Linked DNA regions of Rhinolophus ferrumequinum. The protein of the gene in region 2 interacts with the protein of the main gene of each other region in a pairwise test. Links are inferred from orthologs where the notes say so. Each region holds a gene or a part of one and is shown on either strand. Other genes may lie near its edges.

Evidence for each region.
Region 1: the proteins of PPP3CA (region 2) and C15H16orf74 interact in binary tests that used the Homo sapiens proteins (3 or more experiments, as listed by UniProt). The two-hybrid records come from large-scale screens. The link is inferred for Rhinolophus ferrumequinum from reciprocal best matches to the Homo sapiens genes PPP3CA and C16orf74.
Region 3: the proteins of PPP3CA (region 2) and AKAP5 interact in binary tests that used the Homo sapiens proteins (3 or more experiments, as listed by UniProt). The link is inferred for Rhinolophus ferrumequinum from reciprocal best matches to the Homo sapiens genes PPP3CA and AKAP5.

Annotation. Positions count from the first base shown.
Region 1 is NC_046298.1:30,897,639-30,905,168, forward strand, and holds the start of C15H16orf74 (uncharacterized protein C16orf74 homolog), read right to left. Parts: upstream 3,108-7,530; 5' UTR 2,911-3,107; intron 1,187-2,910; 5' UTR 1,121-1,186; intron 1,016-1,120; 5' UTR 913-1,015; coding exon 853-912; intron 1-852.
Region 2 is NC_046288.1:52,516,747-52,524,745, forward strand, and holds the start of PPP3CA (protein phosphatase 3 catalytic subunit alpha), read right to left. Parts: upstream 3,083-7,999; 5' UTR 2,699-3,082; coding exon 2,641-2,698; intron 1-2,640. UniProt on the Homo sapiens protein: Calcium-dependent, calmodulin-stimulated protein phosphatase which plays an essential role in the transduction of intracellular Ca(2+)-mediated signals. Many of the substrates contain a PxIxIT motif and/or a LxVP motif.
Region 3 is NC_046289.1:31,412,316-31,419,927, forward strand, and holds the start of AKAP5 (A-kinase anchor protein 5), read right to left. Parts: upstream 3,041-7,612; 5' UTR 2,904-3,040; intron 329-2,903; 5' UTR 63-328; coding exon 1-62. UniProt on the Homo sapiens protein: Multivalent scaffold protein that anchors the cAMP-dependent protein kinase/PKA to cytoskeletal and/or organelle-associated proteins, targeting the signal carried by cAMP to specific intracellular effectors.

The DNA.
Region 1 (7,530 bases), on a different chromosome or scaffold from region 2:
AGGTAAAAGGCTGCCAGATAAAACACAGGATGCCCAATTATTGCATGGGACATACTCATACTGAAAATTAGTCATCCTTTATCTGCAATTCAAATTTATCTGAGCGTTCTGTGTTTTTATTTGCTTAATCTGGCAACCCGATGCAGAGGTTGTCTTATTTCTATACCTGGGTTTCCCAGATGAGGCCATGGAGGCCCCGAGAGGGAAAGTGAAAGGCAGGGTCAGGCTAGGAGTCTGATCTTGGTCTCTTTACAGCCACCTCCCAGATGAAATCAAAACAACCCCTTGGAGGTCATGACTCACCATGGCACCTCACCTTACTTCCTTAACAAAGACCTCATTTGAGGACCAAGGATGGGGCGGGAGTGAAGAATCACAGCTGAGGAATTTGACAGTTTGACAAGGTGGGTGGACCCACCAAACTAGATGGAATGGGGTTCCACTCCCTGCTGGGGCAGTCTGGGCAAGCTGTCTCGCTATTTCCCTCCTGTAAACACAGGGAAGAAGGTACTCAGGGGCTGACCCTGCCGGGCTCCCAGGAGGCACACGGCAAATCTTGGTTTTCTTCCTTCTTTAGAAAAGGCATTTTCTTCTTGCCACAGGATTAGAATTCCTGCAATTCCAGCCAAAGGGACTGTGCTGGAAACAGATGCTACAAGCGTTAACATGTCTCCCATCCTGGTACACAGAGGGCAAACAGGGGCATCTCCCTGGCTTGAGCCTACAGACCTGCAGGAGGCTGTGAGCTCCTCTTGGGAGGCAGGGCAGCTGCAGGGTCCACGGGGACTCACCAACAGGAAGTGAAAAAAGATGGGGATGGGGTAGGAGCAGGGTGCCCACTGAAATCCCCACCTGCTTCTCTGTCACCAGGCAGGGCTCTGGACCGCCTGGGGTCCAGCCTTGGCCTCCCATTGATCGGCCCAGGGACTTGGAGCAAACTACTTGCCCACTGCTCCTCTCAGCCTCCCGTATGATCAAGATCAATGCTTACGCTTTGTGCACCTTTCCAAGGTACCTGTCCAGAGAAATGGGCATTTAAAAATAAGGAGTATGCTATTAGAAGTCAAGTGAATGGTTAATTAACCACAGGCTTAATTTAAAAGCATGCAATTGTTTTTACCGCAGCCTTGAAGATAGGAGTCACAAACTACCAGCCCACAGCAGTGAGTCCTTGACAGCTCATCCCCTGCAAAGATGAAAGTAAACTAATGTGTTCTTTGCACCAGATAAAAAGTAACTACAATGTGGCAGTGCCTGTGGAAGACACAGAACGCCCCACTGGCTCAAGGGGACACAAGGGGAGGCGTGGCTAGGAGGGACAAGAGAGGGTTCCTTGATTTGGGGATTCCCTGGTGTGTACATATAACTGTGTGCATATATCTTAAAAATCTTTTAATGGGGGCGGGGGGCGGGTTGTACTTGGTGGTCTCAGAGGCCTGGCCTCTGCTATATTCAAGAGGAATTCACTGTGAGGAGTAAGGGTTTAAGGCCTGGACTTGCCACTGTGCCTGTGACCTTAGGTCATTTTACCTTTACAAGCCTCTGTGTCCTCATCTGTAAAATGGGGATATAACAGTATTGGGTCAGAGGATGCAAAGAGAAAATGCGGGTGTTTGGCACCAGCACGTAGTGCAGGGTCTGGCACACGAAACATTAAACATTAAATATCATCGCTCTCGTGTCCACTGAGGGGAGTTTCCATTTGAAGTCTCCAGACGTGAGCTAAAGCTGGGGCGCAGGGACCCCACCAGCAAGGGAAGGGCTTCAGGGATAGGAGATTAGGAGGCAGAGCTTTCATCCTCCTTGGAGCTGGCAGAGGGATTAAGTCTTTCCTTAAATACACGGCCTCCCTCCCATCCAGAAGAAGGAGTACCTAGAGGTGGGGACACAGAACCCAAGGTAGGTGTAGCCTGGACAGGTTAGGGGGTGCTTTCTAGAGTTAATCCAGCCCCAAACAGGGGCTTCCCGAGGACTTCTGTGAGCTGGACAGGAAACCCCAGAACCTGCCAATCCAGGAGTGCCTTTGAGCCTCAGGCTCCTGATTTGTAAAATGGGATGTTTGTTCCACAAAGGCTGCACTACCTTCTAAGCGTCTTCTCCTGGCTGCCTTTCAACTCCTTTTCCTCCCTCTTCCTCAGTGATTCAGGGGTGCTCGGCCTGCACACTTTTCTCTCCATTCTATCAAGCCTAACAGCCAGGGGCCGTCTGAGAGAAGGCCCTACTGCCGGGTACCCCGACCACCACGCGGCCCCGTGGGGCTGTGGGTCCCCCTCTTTGTAAAGAACGCCTCCCCTCAGTTCTGCTGAGCTCAGCGGGCCAGGAGAAGTCGCGCGTGCCTTCACACTGATCGCCTTTGCGGTTGCAAACCTGCTTTGATGCCCTGGGAGCGAAGGGGGCCCCTAAGTGAGGCGGTTCATAAATAATATATTTTTAAATACTCGATAGAGGGGAAATGGTTCCTCTCGATGCCTCCTGCCCCCACCCCGGCCGGGCTCCTTTCCAGCTTTGAAGAATGGCGGTCTGCTCCCTTCCCAAGGAACTCGTGACAGCGCAGGGGATCAGGTGGAGAGTGGGGGGCCAGAGGTCCCACGCGTAGGGACACACCCCTACCCGCCGGGTGCAAGTTACAACACGGCCAGAGAGGGCCCAACTTTCCCCAAACCTGGGTCTCCGCAGAAAAGTCCGCGAGAAGTTGGGGGGACGCCCGGGCCCGTGAGGGACCCCTACCGCCCCTGGGCCCCCCTAGCCTCCCCGGAGCGCGCCCCTCCCGCCGCTGGAGCTTGCGGGCGTGGACGCCGCTGAGCCGGGCTGCGGCTCCCGGGAAGAGCACCTTCTTGTGGAAGGGGTGGAGTGGGGTGGGTTGGGCATCGCGGTCCAGGCACCCGGGGGCGCGTGGCGGGGGACACTCACCGCTTCCTGCTGGGCTCACTGCGGAGCCGCGCCCCGGGCGCACAGGGCCCTCCCAGGCGCAGGTGGCGGCGGCGGCAGCCGGACTCTGGGGGCCGCGGCGACGAGCCTGCAAGAGAGAGCAGCGGGGGTCATGGCCCGGGCCGGGCAGTGCGCTGGGGCCGCTCCGCCCCGGCCGGCGCACCGTGCCACCGCCGCTCGCGCACGCCTCCCGCTGCCCCGGCCCCGGCCCCTCGGGGCGGTGCTGACTGCAGCCCCGCCCTGCCCGCAGGCGCCGGATCGCACCCGCCGGGAGCCGGGGCGCTGCGGGGGCGGAGCAGGGCCCTCCCGCCGCCTTTCTGGGGAGAGTGCCCGGGGCGTGCCCGGCGCCCGCGCCACCGGCCTCCCCTTGCCCACCTCAGTTTCCTCTTCCCCGGCCCGGGAGGAACCTGGGGAAAGTTTGGGCCGCGGTCCAGGGCGGCGGGGGGCTCTCCACCGCGCGCCCCTCCCCGAACCTGGGTGCCAAGCTCCCAGAAGCTGTGCATCGCAGCCCTGGGTGATGAAAAGAAGGACCACCCATGCTTGAGTGCGCCCCACTGCCTGGCTGCATAGAGGGGAGGCAAGACGTCCCCCATCTCGCCAGCATCAGCCCCACAGCCCTACATTGGGCCTTGGGGTCACGTAAGCAGTGCGCCCCTTCCCCATCTTGTCGCTAGAGCTGTGGGGCTTCAGATGCTCCTCGTGATCAAAATGCAGCTTCCCTGTGTTAGGGTCTTGCCCTTCCGCTCTCTGCACGTGCTTTCACACCCCACTTCTGTGAGGGGAACATGGGGGTGCAGGCCAAATGGGGGTGTTAGGACTTGTCTCTTGACCTTTGGACAGGCTTCAGGGTTTTGATACCTCCTAGCGGGGAGCAATTCCCCAGACCCCTTGGTGTGGGTGCAGGGCCTTTTATCCACATGGGTTTCTTAGGCGGCGGCTCCCACTGTGAGGCGGCCTCTGCAGGCAGTATCCTGCTTGCCTGGAGGAACAAAAGCGATCCCCTACCACGTGTTTTTCCTGTCATTGTCACAAGCCTGTTGTACCAGCTCCATCTTACACGCACCAGGTCTCCACACCAGGTGTTCTGCGTCCTTCTGGAGAATTAGAAGGGGAAACTGAGTCACACAGCAGGACAGTGACATTCCTTTGGTGAACGCAGTCAAGAACTGAGTTGCAGTCAAGAACTGAGTTGCAGGAAGTAGAGTCAGCATCCTAGCTGTGCTCTCCCCTTGAATCATCCCTAAAGATGTTGCAGTCTCTTTGTTCCCCTGCCCATATCAAGTCCAGAGTGACGGGCAGAAAATGTATCATGTCCTCCCTGAAGAGAAGGACAGAAGGGGGTAGGGATAGAGGCAGGATGTTCCTTCCACCTATTCCCACTCCCCACCCTTGGAGGGAAAGTGGGTTACTGAGGGTCCTGTGTCCTTTCGTCTCCTCTAAAAGTGGCAACGGAGGTGTGGGGGAAGCCCCTGGGGATGGTAGGCACAGCCATCCCCATACTTGTTCCAGAAGGGTGGAGAAGGACCTTTTCTAAAGGCTGAGAAGCCTTGAGCAGGATGAGTGCTGTGCGCTGGTTGTGAGATCAGCCCATCTCTGCGCCCTGGTTTCCACAAGGAGAAATAGGGACTCATTCATTTCTACAAAAAGTTTTGAGCATCTACTCTGTGCTAGCAACTTGGGTACCACAGTGAGCAGGATACCTATGCATGCACCCTGATGTCACCACCTGCTCAGAACAGCCCTTTGAGGGACAGACAGTTATTCTCTCATTTTCCAGGAGTGGGACTTGTGGCACAGGGAAGTCGACAGGTCACCCAGGCCATTAGTGGTACATTTTGATATGCACCATCCTCTCTACTCCTGGGCTCTCCTGCCTCAAGCCAAGAGAGGAGCCGCCCATCTCAGGGGAGTTGGGCCCAATCCTAACCTGGCGGGGAGGGGAGACTAATGAGAGGAGACCTAGCAGGATTCTTTTTGTCAACTACATGGGGTTGAGATAAGGAATGGAAAGAATGCAGTTTAATTTGCTTTCCCTTCACCTGGCCTCCTTCCCCACACCTCCCCCCACCCCTTCAGACCGGTGGGGTTTGTGCTTCAATATGAGAATGTCTCAATGAAGTCACTTTGGCGTTTGGGGCTGGATCATTCTCTGTCCTGGGCACTATAGGATGTTGAGCAGGGTCCCTGGCCTCAAACCACCAGATGCTGGTAGCATCAACCACCTCCCCAAGTTGTGACAACCAAAACCATCTCCAGACTTTGCCACATGTCCCTTTGGGGGCACAATCGCTCCTGCCGGTTGAGAATCCCAACATATGTTCCAGTGGTTCCCAGCCCTGGCAGCATGCCAGGATCACTGCAGGAAGCTAAACACATAAATAAATAAAAACGAATAAAGCGAACATCCAGGCCCAGCTCACCCCAAGGATTCTGACCTAATTGGTCCAGGTAGGGCCCAGGCATGGGTGTTTTGTGAAAGCTCCCAGGACATAGGCAGCTACCACGGAGAACCTCGAAGCTAGTCAGGGCGCACTTGCAAGACTAGAAACTGAAGAGACAAATCAATGAAGTGCAGTATGGGAAACCTGTATGGATCTCGATTTGGATAGACCAACTACAAAGAGATACTTCTGAGATAACAGCAGAAAATTGAACACACTCTGGGTATTAGATAATATTTTAAAAGTATTACTCATTTTAATAGATGTGATAGTCGCATAACTATCTTTAAGGCCCTTCGTGATTCATATGGAAAAGTACTATGACTGAATTAGCATAACATTAGGTTTGCTTTAAATGAGTCCAGGAAAATAAAAAGGTGACAGAATGAAGAGTGGGGGCAGGGGAGAGATGAAACAAGAATGAAAAAATTGTTCACAATTGTTGAAGTTAAGAAACTGGTGCGTGGAGGTTCGCTATACTATCCGCACTACTTTTATATGTGTTTCAAAATTTCCAAAATATAAAAAGAAAAGCGAGAAAGAGAGCCCCTTGGACCCTGCCCCTTGGCAGCCAGGTGAGGTGCCCCATCCCCTGAAAACGTGGCCTTGGTTTTGTGGTGGGAGCAATGGGAAGCTGGTGGTGGGGACGCCCTGGGAGGACAGTCCAGCTCAGTGGGCTCACCTTGCACCACCCATCTGGAAGCAGCTGCAGCAGTTGAAGAGGAGGGGGGATCAGCCTTAAACCCACAAACGGGGAGACTAAGCCCGGGCAGCAGCCCTGCTACCTGCCTGTGATCAGAATCACCTGGAGCTTTGGGAAGAGACAGGTGCTGGAGGTGGGGCTTCCTTAGGTGTGGGCCCCGGGTGTGTGTGTGTAAGGACGTGAAATCAGGCCGCTGACATGTGTCCCCTAATGCTCTCCCTTCTCAGCCCAATCACCATGCTGAGAGACTCCTGGTCTGCAGAGGCAGTAGGAGAGGAGTAAGTAATTAGAGCAGTTCCACCCCTTTTCTTCCCTTGGAGATTAACAGTTTGGAGAGCAATTTCCAGTGCATAATTCAACAAGAGTTCCAGCATTGGCGGAGCACCTACCGTGTGCCAGGCACGGTTCTAGGGGCTGAGAATACGGGGAGTGAACGAGATGTCAGAACCCCTTGCCCTTCATGGATGTTCGAGTCTGAGTGCTAAGGAGGAAAAATAGGACAGAGTAGGAGGCTGTAAAGGGTGGGGTGGGGGGCTAGCCTTTTAGACAAGGGGGACAGAGAGACTCTGAGAAGCTGCCTGTGAGGAAGGCCTGGAGAGAGCAGAGAAGCCGGGTGGCTATCAGGAGGAACCCTGTGCTGTGGGGTCTCTGGGTTCAGGGTGCGGCCCAAGGAAGGCAGAAAGGGACCAGGCTTGTAAAACAGCTCCCTCCTCCTGAAATGTCCTTTCTTCCCCCCACCCTTGCCCAGTGACTGTTTCATGGCTCTGAGCAAGTGTCTCTTTGCCAGTCTGGAACCCCACTGGGGGTACTGCAGCCTGCCGTGGGTCCATCGGTGCAATTACTGAAGGGCTGTCTCTCCACTAGCAGGTGAGCCCCAGGAGGGCAGGGAGCAGGTCCCCGCTGCTGGCCGTCACCCCAAGCATGGGACACAGGGCCCAGCACAATGCGGGTGCTCCACACATCCTTGCAGAACAAAGCGGGGGTTTGAATGAGCAAATGAAGAACTAACTGCAAGTCCTCGGGAGGTTTCTGGGGATCAGGGAACCAGCCTCATTCTAAGAAAAGACGCAGGTGCCACTGCCCACTCTCGAAGCCATCCACCAAAATGCCCAACTAGTGGAGTTGCCCAGGGGAGCTGCAGGGGAGAGAATATCTCTGTGAGGCTGCTGTGCCCAGAAACAGAGGAGAGGCTGGTTCTGTCTGCATGGCCCCTCTCACTTGTGCCCCTTCTCAGTTGCCAAAACGTGGCATAATGGATGATAGGGGGTGGGTGGCCACTCTGGGGCCACAGCAGGAGAGGGGCCCAGGGGAAGCAAAGGGAGGGGCAGAGCTGAGACATCACTGGCCGACAGGTGTGGTTGGCCCCCAAAACTTTATAAGCCCTGAAGGACATGAGGCAGGCAGGCCTGAGGCTTAGTGGGGGCCAAAGGGCAACTAAAGATCATCCCAGTTCAGGAC
Region 2 (7,999 bases):
CATAGTAGACTAATCATCAAAATAGATTATCATCTCAAATAATTAATCGTAAAAATTATGTGTATGACAAAATGTTGAATCCAATACTTGATAAAGCTTTTAGGCCAACAATATAGTCTACAAGAAAGGATAAGAGAAATAGTGACAGTTGTCCACCTTAAAAATCAGGATTCATTAAAACTTTTTTCTAGAAAAGAAATTTCACATTCAAAATTTCACATCACCCTATCAAAACAAATGCAAAATTAACTTTTCCTATTTTGAGCCTATTACTCATATTTGCATTTCAATTCTGCAATAATATGTAAACCGAATTTTTGGAATTATGGATAGTGTATGTACTTACAATGTAAAACCATTTATAATAATATATATCATGTTTCCCCGAAAATAAGACCTAGCCGGATAATCAGCTTAATGCGTCTTTTGAAGCAAAAATTAATATAAGACCCTGTCTTATTTTAATATAAGACAGGGTCTTATATAATATAATACAATACAAGACCGGGTCTTATATTAATTTTCGCTCCAAAAGACTCAACAGAGCTAATTATCCGGCTACGTCTTATTTTCTTGGAAACACAGTATAATATAGCATTGTCAAAAAAAGTAAGACAAAACAGCCAAGGAATGGTTCAATGGGCTCTTTCACATTAAATGGTAAAGACTGGGAGCCTGAATGTATGAACAGTCACTTTTACATTCTTCACTTGGTGACAATTTTATATTTACAGTAAGAACCCATAATTTTGTGATTTAAAACAGAGAACCTAGTTTCGTGTGTGCACGAGTGTTTTTTAATTGCTGACACACTTATTGCTATCATTTGAATTGTAAGCTTTACATTGTTTTGAAAATAGGTGATCTTAACCTACAGATTAGAGTTACACCCTAAACTTCACACATTAGGGAGAGATTTGTTATTTTGGTATTTCAGTAAAAGGTCTTAATTTTTTAATATGTCAACAGAAGATTTTAATATAAATACAGTTCTTTGGAATGAATACGAATCGACTGTTTAAAGGAGGGCCCATGCCTGCAGAAAGAATAGCTGTGCATCTGTAGTCCTATTTCCAGTCACTTTTGCAGAGATATGTTCTCCTAGTTTTGATGGTCTATGAATACTGACTGCACTGAAGCAGGACTGATTCTAATACAACCAAAACAAAATATTTTATTCTCTCTTTCTTAAAAAGGAGACCACATTTCCCCCATCACCACGCAACACACACTTTAAAAACTGAACAAACCTGAATAGAGCAATGAACAGTTCAGAAGCCCCAGAATGACTTCTGTTATCATGGTCCTTAGGCTGCTGGGTTACTTCACCTAAAAGGCTCATGATGCAAAAGACTTGACTGCCTTGCACTCTACTTGTTTGCTCTGGCCACATTAGATAGTATCTGTATTCTACAGAAAACACACACACCCGCCAGCCAGCGTGGTTTCCAATTTCGAAGGCCAGTTCTGCTCCTAGTCCATGCCCAGCTCTGCTCTGCCCCAGTGTCCTGACCCCAGGAATGAGGGGTACTACTTAATCCTGGCGGATCTGCCCTGTTGTCTCATCCTTCCAGGATTCGTAGGATGGTTCCTCCTGGAGTCCACCACGAAATACAATAAGTACGGCGGATTCCCTCGTGCCAAAAAGAAAGAGACCACTATCTGTCCCCTTCCTCGCCCCACTCATCATCTTGGCTTCTCTCCGCCAGAAATCCCAGAACCATCCCCGCCAGGAGTATAACATACCCCGCCCGGGGAGAATCAAATAGCCCATTAATAAAGAGCGGGGGGGTGCCAGGGGCACAGGGAAACGAGCGTGGCAAGTTCACGATTGGGGAGGTGTGCTCCCAGGGAACCACTCAAGAGCAATGACAGGTCGGCGGGGGAAGGCTGGGGGTGGCGAGAGAGATTGGAGAACTGCTTTTCGTGTTTTTCTCAGGGCCTGCAGGGGAATCCCGGGGAGGAGGTGGCAGGGCTCTCGGGTCGTTCCCGGCCTCCCTCGCCCCCAGCGTGTCCCCTCCGCTACCCCCTCCGCCTGCGGCCGCCCCCGCCCCACGCGGAAGCGAGTGCAGGGCTCCCCCCACGCTCTCCCGCTCTCTCGCGAGTCCTGTGCAGGCCCTTTCAGGGGAAGGGGGAGGGGGCGCGAAGGGAATTGCTGCAATGGAGCACCGAGAGAACCCTGCCCGAGCCAGGCAGTCGGTGGAAAGCCTCCACCACATAAAAATGCCATATTAATTTTTTAAAAGCCATAAATCACCCCTCCCTCTGCAAAAGAAAACCATAAACCCGATCCCATGCAAGCCTGCGAGCAGCCACCCACTTCCTATTTCTGTCACAGCAGCTACACCCAGCCAGCAACCACCCCCCGGGCGCCCCCTCCCGCCCCCGCCACCCCCGCAGCCGCCTCCCCGAGGCTCAGCCATTTGCCAACTGACGCCCCCATAAATAAAAATGCCCCAAGTAGGGCTGGGTGGGAGGCGTGGGGGAAGGGCGCGGGAGGGAGGGGGTGCGAGGGTTGCACAATATCCTAGAAGGTCCGTGGCTGGAGCGCGGAGAGAACCCGGGGCGGGGGAGGGGAGGCGAGCCGCCCGGGTGCCTGCGGCACACGGTGCACCCCGGCGACCGCGGCGCGCCGCTTACCTTTCACCACCCTGTCGGTCGTCGACAACTTGGGATCAATTGCCTTGGGCTCGGACATCTCCAGCCGCCGGGAGACAGCGAGGCGCTGCTCGTCCGTCCTACTGTACACCCCGACCAGACCGGCGGGCCAGACACTAAACGCTGCCGCCGCGCTGCAAACCGCTCGGCTGGAGGTCTGGGCTCTGAGCTGGCTTTAAAGTTACTGCCTTCTCGGCGCGTCCCTCCTCCTCCGCCGCCGCCGCCTTCACTCCTCCTCCGCCGCCGCCAGCCCCGCCGACTCCGCTCCGGGCACGCGTGTGTGGTGGTTATTTATTTATTTTCTAAGCGCGCCTCTTGGTTCTTCTTTTATTCTTGGGAAAGGGGGATGGGGAGAACAAGCGCACACACGAGCACCCACCCTGGCACGGAGACCCGGCACCGCGGAATGGAGCCCCACGCGCGCACACTGCCGGGATTAAGACCGATCACATGGGGAGGGCCGGGGGCGAGAGAGGAGAGGCAGGGCCGCCGATGTCAGTGCCACCAGCCGCGCCTCGGCGTCCCCGGCGGCGGAGAGGCGCCGGTCCTGCTGCTGCTGCTGCTGCTGCTGCTGCTGCTGTTGGTGCTGCTGCTGCTGCTGCTGCTGCTGCTGCTGCTGCTACCGCCGCTGCCGCCGCTTCCCACACCCGGCGCCGCCGCTGATCCGCGGCCGCCGTAGACGTCCCGCCGCCGCGCTCGCCCGCGCTCGCCTTTGCCAACCCGCGCCGCTCCTTTACTCACACACACACAGCCGCGGAGCTCGGCAGACACAGTCCCGGGCGCAAGCTACCCTCCTCCGCCGCTGCCGCCGCCTCGGCCGCCGCCACCGCGCCCGCCTCCGCCTCCTCCCCTTCCTCCTCCAGGCCCCCGCCTCTAGCGCCCCGGCAGCCTCCTCCTCCCTGCGGAGCCCGCCCCCGGCTCCCGGCTCCCCGCCCCGACGTCGGAGCTGTGGGCGTTTATTGGCTGGCAGGCACGTCACTCTCTACCAGGTGGCAGCTCCCGGGTTCCGCCCGCCTCCCGCTCCTCCTTGCGGACCCCGCCCCCCGCTCTGTTTTCTCCCAGCTGCCAGTCAGTCCAGCGGGCCTGCCCCAGTCCTTGCTCAGGTGTCACTGTTGCTGGCAGGCCGGGATTACAGAAGGAAAATAGGCAGGGGTCGCGGCTGGGAGGCGAGGGGCTCTACCAGGCCACCCCAGGCCCACTGGGCTTCCGCCCCTGGATCCCGCACACACCCCCGCGCCGCTTTGGCCACCGTGCCTTGCGGGCTGGGTTAAGCCGCAGTGTGAGGAGCCAAGTGCGGAGAGTATCTCCGCGTGTGTGCGTGGCCTGCGAGAGGGCAAGAAAGGAGGAGGGAAGAAGAGGAGGGAAGGGGGGCAGTGAGAAGCGACGGAGAGAGGGCGGAGGAAGGAAGAGCGCGGGGAGTTCCGCGGCCCGCCGCACAGCTGCTGTCGCTGCCGCAGCTGCCCAGGGAGAATCGCCAAGACGGTGACGAATAAACAGCTTACCTGGGGGAGCCGTGCTCCGCCTGTGATGCGTGTACAGTTGTTTTTGCTATTGGGGCTTTTGTGTGGGCGGTGTGGTGCTTATTCATGTTTCCTACCCCTGCCTCCATACCTCCTGAGGAGCCGGCCACTCCTGAGCGTCGCGGGCCGGGGACGTGGCGGAATGTGCGGGGCACTCTGGGATGCGGGAGCGGGCTATCCGAGGAGGATGGGACGGGAGTCCAAATGACCCCGGGGCAACTCTGAGTCACCGGGGACAGCCCTGCTGGACTCCTGAAAGAAATGAGGGGGCGGGAGAAACTCCGGAGACGGGCGTCTTTTCCCTATTCGCACACGCGCACGCAGCCACTGGTCGGGACCACAGCTCCCTTCCCTGCTTTTCCAATTGCCGGACACCTATTTGATGCTCCCAATGCTTGCAGGACCCTGAAGCCCTAGGTGGATCCACACTCTGGTTCCTCCCGTTGTAATGAGGGCAAAAAGGGAATTCAAGGCGGAGGCCAGACGGTGACAGTGGCCCAAACGCTCCTTCTGACCTACTGCCTCGCCATAGAACGAGGAATGGGTCTCCCTCTGCCAGGGCAGGTCCGCACAGCCCCTCTCTGCTATCAACCTCAGCACCAAGGACTGGCAAGAGGGTTGGAGCTTCTTTGGGAATAATGAAAAGAGCTGAATAAATTTCTCACCCTTGACCCTTCCTGTTTTATTTCCAAATTCTTTCAATATCTGATTTTTCCTGTTTTCTGAATTGGACCATGAACCCAGTAAAAGGCCTAATAAAAGATTCAGGAAGCTAGGAGATGGAACCTGAATAAGTGTTTTTCTAGCAGGCTTTACGTTAAAGTTCAAACTTGATAAATTGTTGGGATTGACTGATGGCGCTGGAGTATAACTTGAGCAGAGTGGCCTGCGAGGAATAAGAGCTCACTCTAGAAGGCACGTGAACCTCTGTGAAGGCCTATCCTAAAAGGAGACCATGCAGGGTGTGTCCCACTGGCTCAGGGAGGCTGCCACTGGCTCCAAGACTCCGATGCCCAATTTACAACTCCAGGATAGTGTGTGGTAATTAGGCAGACAGTACATTCAATAAATATGTATTGTTTTCCTTTTATATGCCAGATACTGTGGTAGGTAATTTATGTGTGGGGTGTTTGTGGAGGGAAGAGGAGGTGTTTAAAAATGGTCCTTGCCTTCAATAAAGCCTAGTGTCCAATAAAACTGTCATAAAAATATGAGCTCTGAGAGGTCACTGTATCATCTAAGGAAGGGGGGGTTGTTGAAACAGTCTCCCGAGCATGGGCAAAGCTAGTTGCTAAGGCAGACATGGGGAGTTGGTCCCTGGCCAAAGAGCACAGAGCCAGTCAGGGATGTCAAGACCTGTGGGTGAAGAAGAGGGCCTACTTTAGGAAAGACCAGGAAACCATGCCCCGCAATGCTCACTTCCAGTGCCACAATGTTCTCTCCCACATGTGGCAAACAAAGATGCAGTTCCCACCATTTTTTGGACTCACTTTTCAGGTTTAGGAAAAATATCTTTGAACCAAGATCAGAGACTTGAAATGTCAGCACCATAAAAAAGTTGTATGATACAGATAGGAAATAAAGGCACACCTTTGAGGCACACCCTTCAGTCCGCTACAAGTCTAGGACACCTCCTAGCTGAGGTATGTGTAGAAAAAAGAGTTATGAATCATAATCACTTTACAACACATCTTATGATCATCAGGTTCCTTTAATGCACGTGTATGGTTCCATACTGCTACATCTTCTTAAACGAAAGTGGACCCTACTGTCAGGAAAACTAGCCAACAGAATGTTAACTACGGACTAGTTATGTCCTCATACCTTGCCTGCTGAACTGGCCAAATTATCTTTTTTATTCAGATATTTTTTCAGATATCCTATCTGTTACTGCCATTTTTTTTTTTTTTAAATCATGTTAGACTGCCCAGGCAGACTTTGATTATATTATACTTGCATAAGATTGCTTTATACTTGGAATCTACATTTTCAAGAACTTGCAATTCTTGGATGATGACTTTAATAAGGCCCTCTGCTTATAAAGAAAAAGAAAGGAAAAGAAAAGAACCTTGGCAAACTACAACTTGCTGTCTACTAAAAAATTGTATTTTCCCTTCCTTTGTATATTTCTCTCTGGGAAACATCTGCCCAGGTAGGGATTCCACTTCCTGGCCTGCACCTGCTTGCATTTAAATGGATTCATGTGACGTGTTCTGCTCAATGGACTGTGGGCTGAAGTGTTTTATCACTTTCAGGCCAAGGCAGTTAAGCAGTAGACAAGCATTCTCCTGCCTCTGGGTTCCCATCCTTTAGCTGAATGCAGATGCTTCTAGGGCCCAGGGAGGGCATAATGCCAAATGGAAAGAGCTAAGTGCCTGTATTACTACGTAAAGTAGTGATGCTCACCTACAAGAAAATCTACTTTAGACTTTACATGAAAAAAGAAATAAATTTGTATTGTGTTTCTCCATTGAAATTTGGGGATATGCTTGTTAGGCTAGCTAGTATTACCAAATTAATACACAGAGATTATCTAAGATGTTAGTGCAAAAAGTAAAATCCAAATGTATTGTGTACCTGTTATATAACAGACTATCAGACTAAAAATATTCTTATTTCTTTTAGTCTATGAGCATCAAGTTTTGATTTTTTTGTAAACGAATTATTAATTTATCAGTTGTGTTTTGAACACCTGTTCTGTACAAGGTAGTGTGCTAGATGATGCATAAATTTATATAGTAAAAGTTTCAAAGATTTAATTCTTTCGTTCACAGTCTCAAAGTCTTATACGAGAATTGTACACATATTACCTTTGCAAAAACTTAGGTGTAAGGTGCTCTCACTATTGGAGACACAAACTAATTTTACTGTTGACTTCATCAAAACTAATTATGAAGATAAATAAGTGTGGAAAAAAATATTGAAAATTCAGCATCATCTATGCATTCAGATGCTCCAAGTCACAGCTTATCTCCATTGGTGCAAATTTGCATTGGTGCAAATTTTAGTGTGCTATTAAGTACTCTGCTAGATGCATTTTTTTATGAATTAAAGATATTGTATTTTTATGTCTTGTTTTCAGAATAATCTGCTTTTGAAATTTTAGACTTTCTTTTAGTTATTGGATGACTACTAGCATTTTGATATTAAGAGTTAAATAACTCCTGGGTTTGGCTCTTCTGAGGGATGCTCTTTGCTCTGAGTAAGTGATGGTAGACATTATGTCTGACCTACAAGTATTCTCACCTGAGCTAGTAGAGCCTAGTGCTGAAGAACCTGCAGACTAGACAGCCAATCCTGGTGGGGCCATGGCTGTGTATGAGAATTTGATTTATTACCGTAGAGTTCATTCCCATGACATCCACTTCTAACATGTCGAGTTCTACACTATTCACTATAGAGGCACTATGAAATATATTAGTCATCATGGATTTTATTATTTGAGGTTTAAACTAAAGCACTCTTATTTGTTTATCTTTTGCATTGCTCTTGAAATTTTGTTGAGCCTGGTTTTTTTCAGAAGGCAGTTTTACTCATTTAGAAATTATTTCTCAAAGAACATAAAAATGTGTTATACCAAATGTATTCAGGAATAAATTTAATTTTTTTCCATCAGGAACCAAACAATAACTTATGGAATTACATGCTAAGTTTAATATGGAGAAGATATATTTTATATAAAATTTAGCTAGACTATGGGTGATCATTATTTTTGGATTCAATAAACATCTATTCATATTTGTTTTATTTATATTTGTATATCTCATATCCTACTGCTGGGCACAGAGTAGGGTGCTCAACAAATTTTGTTAAGTAAATTT
Region 3 (7,612 bases), on a different chromosome or scaffold from region 2:
ACTTTTGCTGATCCCCTCTCATCTTTGCTTTCTACTTGAATTTCAGACACTGTGGTCTCCATTTTTATGTTACACTTTTTCTCTTTCTAGAAAATGATATTCTCTCTTCCTTAGCATCTGTTGATGACAAGAAAAGTGGGCAAAAATATCATACTAAGCAAAATTACTTCTGGATGTATTCACTCCTTTCGTTTTACTCCATACAGTTGTTTGAGGTGGTTTCTCCAGTATACAAATGCCTGGTTTCTCTATTACTTGTTATTTATCTCTTTAATTTCTTCACGAAAGCCCTTTACTTGATAGATTTTTGTTTTATTTAAAGATCAACCTGATGAGAGAAAAGAAAGTGGTATTTTATTTCACTATCATCAGTCTATTGTTTTCTATAGAGACTACTTCCGTTGAATGTATGTAATATCAGACATGTTTCCCATATAATAACTTACTGAAAATGACTGGAGAATAAAAATTGGGGTTAACTTTTGCCCTTTCAGAAAGATTTCAATATGAATGTATTTTGCTCTATTCTCTGTTACAATTTCATTTTGAATTTTTCTGCAAATCTGGTATTTTACCAATTCTTGAGTTGTGCTGTCTTTATGAATTGTGAGTGACTCTGAATTGTGAGTTAACAAACAAAATACAACAAAAAAACAATGAATGTAAGGTGATAAGCAAGTTAGTGTAATTTTTATTACATACAATACAGAATTCTGAAGCTACAAAGGATCGTGGAGATTGAGATTAACCAAATCCAGTCAGGATGAAGAAATTGAGCACCAGAATGGGCTGTTGGCCGGCTGAAAGCCATACGGTTAGATAAGGTCATAGCCCCAGTTAGAACTGAAGACCTTGACCCTCCAATGTCCTTTCCATTAGACCACAAGGTTTCTGTTCTGAACTGTACATTCCGTCAAGGAGGTGAAGTGCTACTTTTCATACATACTCTGGGGAAATGTAACATTGCTGTCTTTCTCCACTCTTAAATCTAGTTGTATAATGCTGACATCTTTTTCTAAGTATTTGCTGTTCAAACATTTCCCTTTGTAAGCACATAGTTGAAGGTCAGTGAGAGTGAATGATCATAATAGTTGCCATTTATTGAGCAACTTCTGTGTGTTTGGCAGTGCCAAGCACTTTTACATACATCTCCAACCCTCCCCACAGTATCACAAAATGAGAAGGTGGTGGTATCACCATCTACAAATGAAGAAAGAGGCTTAGAGAGGTTACACAACTAGTAGGTAACGGAGCCAGATTCAACCCAAGATTGGCTATTTCTGTTTCTGAAGCCCATGCTCTGAAACTGTGTTTTAAGAGTTTCATCAGAAAAATGAATTGTCTGGAGATGCTACTCTGCACCAGATTCACTAGTCAAAAATCTTAAAAAGGCTGAATGGTTGGTTATTTAACCATAATGTAGCCCGTCAATTTATAATTGAATCAAGATTAGGCTGAGTTCTTGCTATTTTAAAATCAAGCTTTTGAAATTCCTTATATTTGATTTTCTTGGTTTTAGAACTAATTTGAAAGCCAAATATAAATGATAAGCTGCACAACTGGCAAACTGTTATATATAAATACAAAAGTATATTTAAAAATTAATCCACAGAATGGTATGATGGTACCAATGTACAGATGAGGTGATCGTCTAAATAAAAACCCTATGAATTTCAGTTGATCGATGTCCTAAAATAAACAAAAGGGCTCAGTTCTTGTACTTCCCCCTCTGTAAATCGTTCACTTTTTAAGGTTTATTTGGGTAGCTCTTGATTTTATGAACCACAGAAGGAACTGGAACTCTGAAAATTGGTTTATGATCTAAGTAAATACTCCCTTAGGTTGGGTGTTACATACACCACGCCTCTGGCCGAAAGACAAAGTCATCCTAAAACAAGGATGGAACTAAAATATGGAACACTTTTAGTGTCCCTCCTCATGTAATGCTTCCATAAGCAGAACTACAGCTGATTATACCTCTCTTTAAGTCTTCTCCCCTCTTGTGAGTTATCAGCACCTGAGAACTTTTAACTGGAGGATGTATAATTAACAGAAATAGTGAAATTAGATCACGTTTAGGAATGTATCATTTGAAACTAACATGAATTGCTCAAAGACAACTGTTTGAAAAGCTCACTTGAACGATTACCACACTGTAGATATAAAACAAATACCAAACAATAAACTAAAATGGGAAAATGCAGTCTGTAGACATTAAAACTTTGCAAAATGTTAGACTGCAAATGATTTGTCCTTAGCCTGCCAGGGTAGTTTTTTCGCCTCAGGAATCTTCAAGTTCCTGTTGTCATTTCCTCACAGAATCAATCGCAAGTGTAATGCCATAGAAAATACCCCTTCCCCTTTTCCCTTGAGCAGAGAAGCACGGAAGCAAAGAGCAACCACTCCCCGAGGAAAGCAGTGACTCTCCCAGCACCCGATGTGGACCACGAAGCTTCCTCCTGGAGGAAGACGTCTCTCGTTCTGGCTTGATGCTTCTTATGGAAGGAGCTAGAGCGCAGGATAAAGTACTCAAAAAGGAAAGTGCCGGGGGCGTGCAACAGATAACCCAGCTTCAAGCTATCTGCACAATAACAATGCCAGAAACCCCAAATCACATTTCCTTAAATAAAGGGCAAAGAAGGAGAAATCTATCAGCAACCCATGCTTCTAGGACGAACTGTAAGGCTAAGGAGGGTAGGTGGGTAGAGCTGATGAGGGTCGCGCAAACAGGAGATACCTGCGGACAAATGACCTTCGCGGGTCTTACCTCGGCCATCTCCGGGTCACGCAGATTTCGGGGGTCCAGCCGACCCTTCGGCCCACCCCGCCGCGCAGGCGGTCAGTGGATCAGACACTGGCCCGCACCCTCTTTCCCCGCAACCCCTTCGCCCTCCTTCACTCACCGAGGCCGCCGAGGTCACTGACCGGGGGTGCATGATGCCCAGGTTGAGGGTCGTTCGCGGGGCCGGGCACCTAGGCAGCCAGGAAGCTACGGTCGCACCGGGAGCGAGCAGCCCTCTACAGATGGACCGCAGTCTTGGCGGCACCCCCTCCCCAGAACGCGGGAACTGACAGCCGGCAGCACCAATGCGCGCCGAGCGGGCGGGAGTGGGGCGGAGCCAGGGGCGGTGGGCGGGTGGGGGAGGGGGCGGGGATCAGCAGGTCCACCTGCGAGCAGTCTTCCCAGCCACGTGGGAGCAGACCTTCGCGCTCCGAGCCTGGGCGCGAATTCACGCGGCGCGACCGCATCCGGGGAACTGCAGGTGGACCACCGAGAGAGCCGCTAGATGGGGAGGGGACCAGAGTGGTGATGATTTCCGCATTTTCTGAGACGCAAAGTAGCAAAACCTGGTTTTAAATTATAGGCACTCCTATTATAAACCCCCCTCCCCCGCCCCATACACACCGAATATTTGGACATAGCAGATATCACATTTTAAAGGTAGGATTCAAAACTGTGCGGCGTGGGATCTCGTTTGAGAGAAAATTACATATGTGAATTGAAACAGAAAACAACAACTTTCCCAGAAGTGGGTGTGGGTATAATGAGGTTATCACGGTTCATTGCCAAACAGCTGTCAGAGACCCAAACCCGAGTCTTGTCTCCCTAGTCTAGGGGACAGGTAGAAATGATGCCACCTGTGTGTGGACAAGGTCAGAAGGGCACAGGAACCCAGCCCCACCCCATCCACCTTTTATACTTTACGTATTTCCAAGGCTAAGTTGAGGGTGCTTACAAGTTATCTGTGTTTCCCAGCTTAACCTTGTCCCTCAAGAGGGTGGGATGGGGTGGGTGTGGAGAACAGGAGACGGCTTTCCTTACAATTCCAGTCCCACGTAGAGCAAAGGGCACAGGCAACATCTAACTCCCTCCTGCATGACCGGCTAGGTTCTTTTCAGAGTCTTTATTTAAACAAATTGCTAGCAATAGTGAAAAGCACCACAAGCACTTATTTGTACATGTAACACATTGTTTTCATTAACACCGGTGAAAGGTGTTGCTATGAGAGCTTACGATGACTTGCTTTGGGTTTACTATCACCTACAAGGGCAATCCTGCAAGCTCCAGATGTGAGGTCCTGCAGGATATCCTCTTCCTGCCTCCTCTGTCCCCTCCCAGGCACACCATCCAGATGAAGAGCATGTTATGGAGGGAAGAACTACTCAACAGCAGTTATCCTTACCTCCTTTCTTCAATAGGATCATGATCTTGGGAAAGTAAATCTCAGTTATCCATTTTTGGATGTTTTCCCATGAATATATTTTACCTTTTGAGATTCTATAGCTTTCACTCAGACTTAAGGAAAGAACTATTAGGACACAATAGCAAAGCTCAATCTAAGTTGTCAAGATCTTAAATTTACAGGTAAGAGACAAGAGCTATAATACAGGAAAACCCATAAGCATCTAGTTTAAATAATTCAATCTTTAAAAAAAGAATTAAATTTACCTTTGCTCATTCATTAAACACCAGTCTGTGAAAATGTCCTTTATATCCTCAGATGGGCTGTTAACCCTGCTTACTGACAGTTTTGAACTTTAAAGAAGCCAAAAATAATCTATACCACTCATAACCAATTGAGATGCGATTACTCACTGAGATCCAAGTTTTTTCAAATCTAGCATATCTGGGAGTTTGCAACCATTTCAGGTAAAAATGAGATGAGCTTATCTAGATGAAGACAGGGTAGCACAGCTGTCTTATTAGGAAGTAGTTGGCACGAAACAAGGAACAGGTTAAAACAATAAAGGCCACTGTAATGACTTGTAGATTTTATTCCACCTGCTTGTCTTAAAAAAAAAAGACTAGTGAAAGGGAACTGATGGGTGGTTTGAGTTAAGAGGCGAAGTGATTTTGTATTTGAAGGGCAAATTCTAAGGTATATTACGAATAACTCATCTTTGACCTCGACCACACACACACACTCTCCTAGTATAGTATTATAAATAAAATACTGCACTATGGTTTTTGTTTAGTATATGAACACAATCTGATGTCATATCTTTTAAAAAAAGTATACAGTACCTCATGCATGAAAGAAAGCTGTCATTCCTGAACTCACTTAAGTGACAGTTAGTAATCTATTACTCTCATCATTGTCTGCTTTTCCTTTAGTAGCTTTTCATTATATAATGAGAAACAGGCTATAAATATCTCTCTCCAATTTGATGAGAAATTATCCTACCTACCACTTATCTTGTTAACATTACCAGATACAACGTCCCAGTAAAATAGCTTACATATTTATATTATCTCTACCGATCAGATCATTTCTCCCATCCTGGTCCCTGTCCACTACCAGCCTGTAGCTACCAAAAATGGTTTCCAACTCTTTGGTAATCATCCTTACATTTTAGAGACCTTCTGGGAACAAGCCCACCACCTCTTCTACCCTGGTACACCATTAAATGAAAATTAGCTCCAGTTCTCTGGTGGTTGGATCTGTTCCTAGGTACCATCAGGGTTGCACCAGCCAACACAAACTCAGCAGTAACTCTGTTGTAATGTTTCACTTGACAGCTCATAAGTGCTGTCTCTATTTTGAATTGAGTGTATATCCATCTTCAGTGAATGGCAACAGCCTCTAAGGTGCAGATCAAAGAAGGTATAATCTGTCAGTAATATTACTAGTATGGGGAGGGAAGGCATTAGCAGCCCAGAAAAGGGTAGGAATGGGAACAGCGAGACCAGTGATCTGGGAGGACTCCTAGCCCCAAGATAAAGGCACTGGACCTTGTCTGGCAACACATACTAATATATACCCCAAACACTAATATTCCTGTAGGTCTTGAATTCAGGTCTCCAATTAGTCTGTAGTTATTTTTTGTTGTTTTTTATGCCTTCTGTTTATCACAGATTAAAGAATCAAGTCCACAAAACCCACGTCATCAATAACTGGTTGGCAGCCTTCTTAACCTCTTTATTTCTTCCCCCTAATTCTACCTTTTATTACTCCTTCCTTCGGAAGGGATGTGAAATGGGCACAGCTTCCTACCTATCACAAATGGGATGTCCATTTCTGTATAACCTGGCAAGGGATGCCTTCTAAGAAGGGCTCTGTAAGGCAGAATGATGGTAAAGAGCAGAGGTTTGGACTCAGATGATCTTCAGTTCATCTGGCAGGCAGCAGCAATGCAATTTTCAAGTTTACCCTTCTGTAAAATGGACATATAAACCTAATTTATATATTTGTTCTATTATAATTTATCTCCACATTTCCAACCAAAGGTCAGCTCTCATTCTGAAGCTAGATGTCCCTCTTTGAGCAATTCCACTGCTAGGAATTTGTCCTATAGATGCTTCTACACAAGCTGCAAAGATACATGTTATGGGAATAACATGTATTCACTGCTACATCATTTTTAATAGCAAAAATTATCAAACAATAGTAAGTGTCCATTGATAGGACTGTATCAATACCACACAGCTGTAAGAAACAAGATAAATCTTAAAATACGGATCTTACTATAGTAAGATCTCTAAGATATACTGCCAAGTGGAAAAAGCAAGTTGTACCATTTGAATTGTTACTGAAGGCATAGTGTACTTCTACTTAGGAAATTCTTGCATTGGTGATGCTACATTTATTCCAAGCAATACCTGGTAAAAAGAATTTGCATTATTTATTGTATTAGAGATTTGTTTATCATCTTTGACTTATAAACCTCTTCTCCCACCAATTGTGTTTACTATTCCTATCGACATTAAGGATTGAAACCCACATGGCTTTTGGTGATATGAGGAAGCCTAAATCCTTTAAGATGATCTTAAGTCACCATGTCTGACAATAGACTGCTTTCTTCCCTTGTTTACAAACTGAATTCCCAGCAAGTCCCATTCCAGATGAGGTTTTAGAGGACATTAAAAAAAAAAAAAAAACACATCAGAAACAGTGAGCTCTGTGCAGACAGGGCCCGGATGATGCTTTAGAACAGGACTCGACCCCACCATTGTGAAGAAAGTGTGGGGGAGCCGGGGCTCTGCGCTCATGACCCCTTTGCCATATGCCCCCCAGCACTGCCATCATTTCTCTGGACAGCAAAACTGATTGTCTGACGACACCGATGTGAACCTAGGGGATTAAAAATAATATAACAAAAGATGTCAGGAAAAATATTGCTCTGCCAACACCAGTGGGGAACGCAACATCTCCTGGAAGGATCCAACGCAGGAAGACAAGCGGGCGAGGGGGGAAAAAACGGGAGAGGAAGAACACAGACAGAAAACGAAAAAGAGAAGGGAAAACATTTGAGCAAAAAAAAACATTCTGTAGGGAGTAGAGCCCAATTACTTGGTAAAAGCTCAATAAATATTTGCTGAACCAACAGAGCAAAAAGGGCTAAGCTACAGTTAGTGCTGTATGACCAGACTTCTTTGAGGACTCTTGAAATAAATGGTGCTAAAGCTGTGACAGGAAAGGCAATTCCGAGGAAATTCAGGACAAAAACCTGTATGTGTAATCTTTTCCCAAGGTAAAAAAAAAAAAAAAAAAAGGAACAATATAGAAAGGTATATGATAAGAAGGCACGTCCTCCATATGCTGCTTCTCCTGACATGTGTCCTCCCAGAAATACACAAGCACGTACCGTTTTCCCCTTTAAACAAAACAGT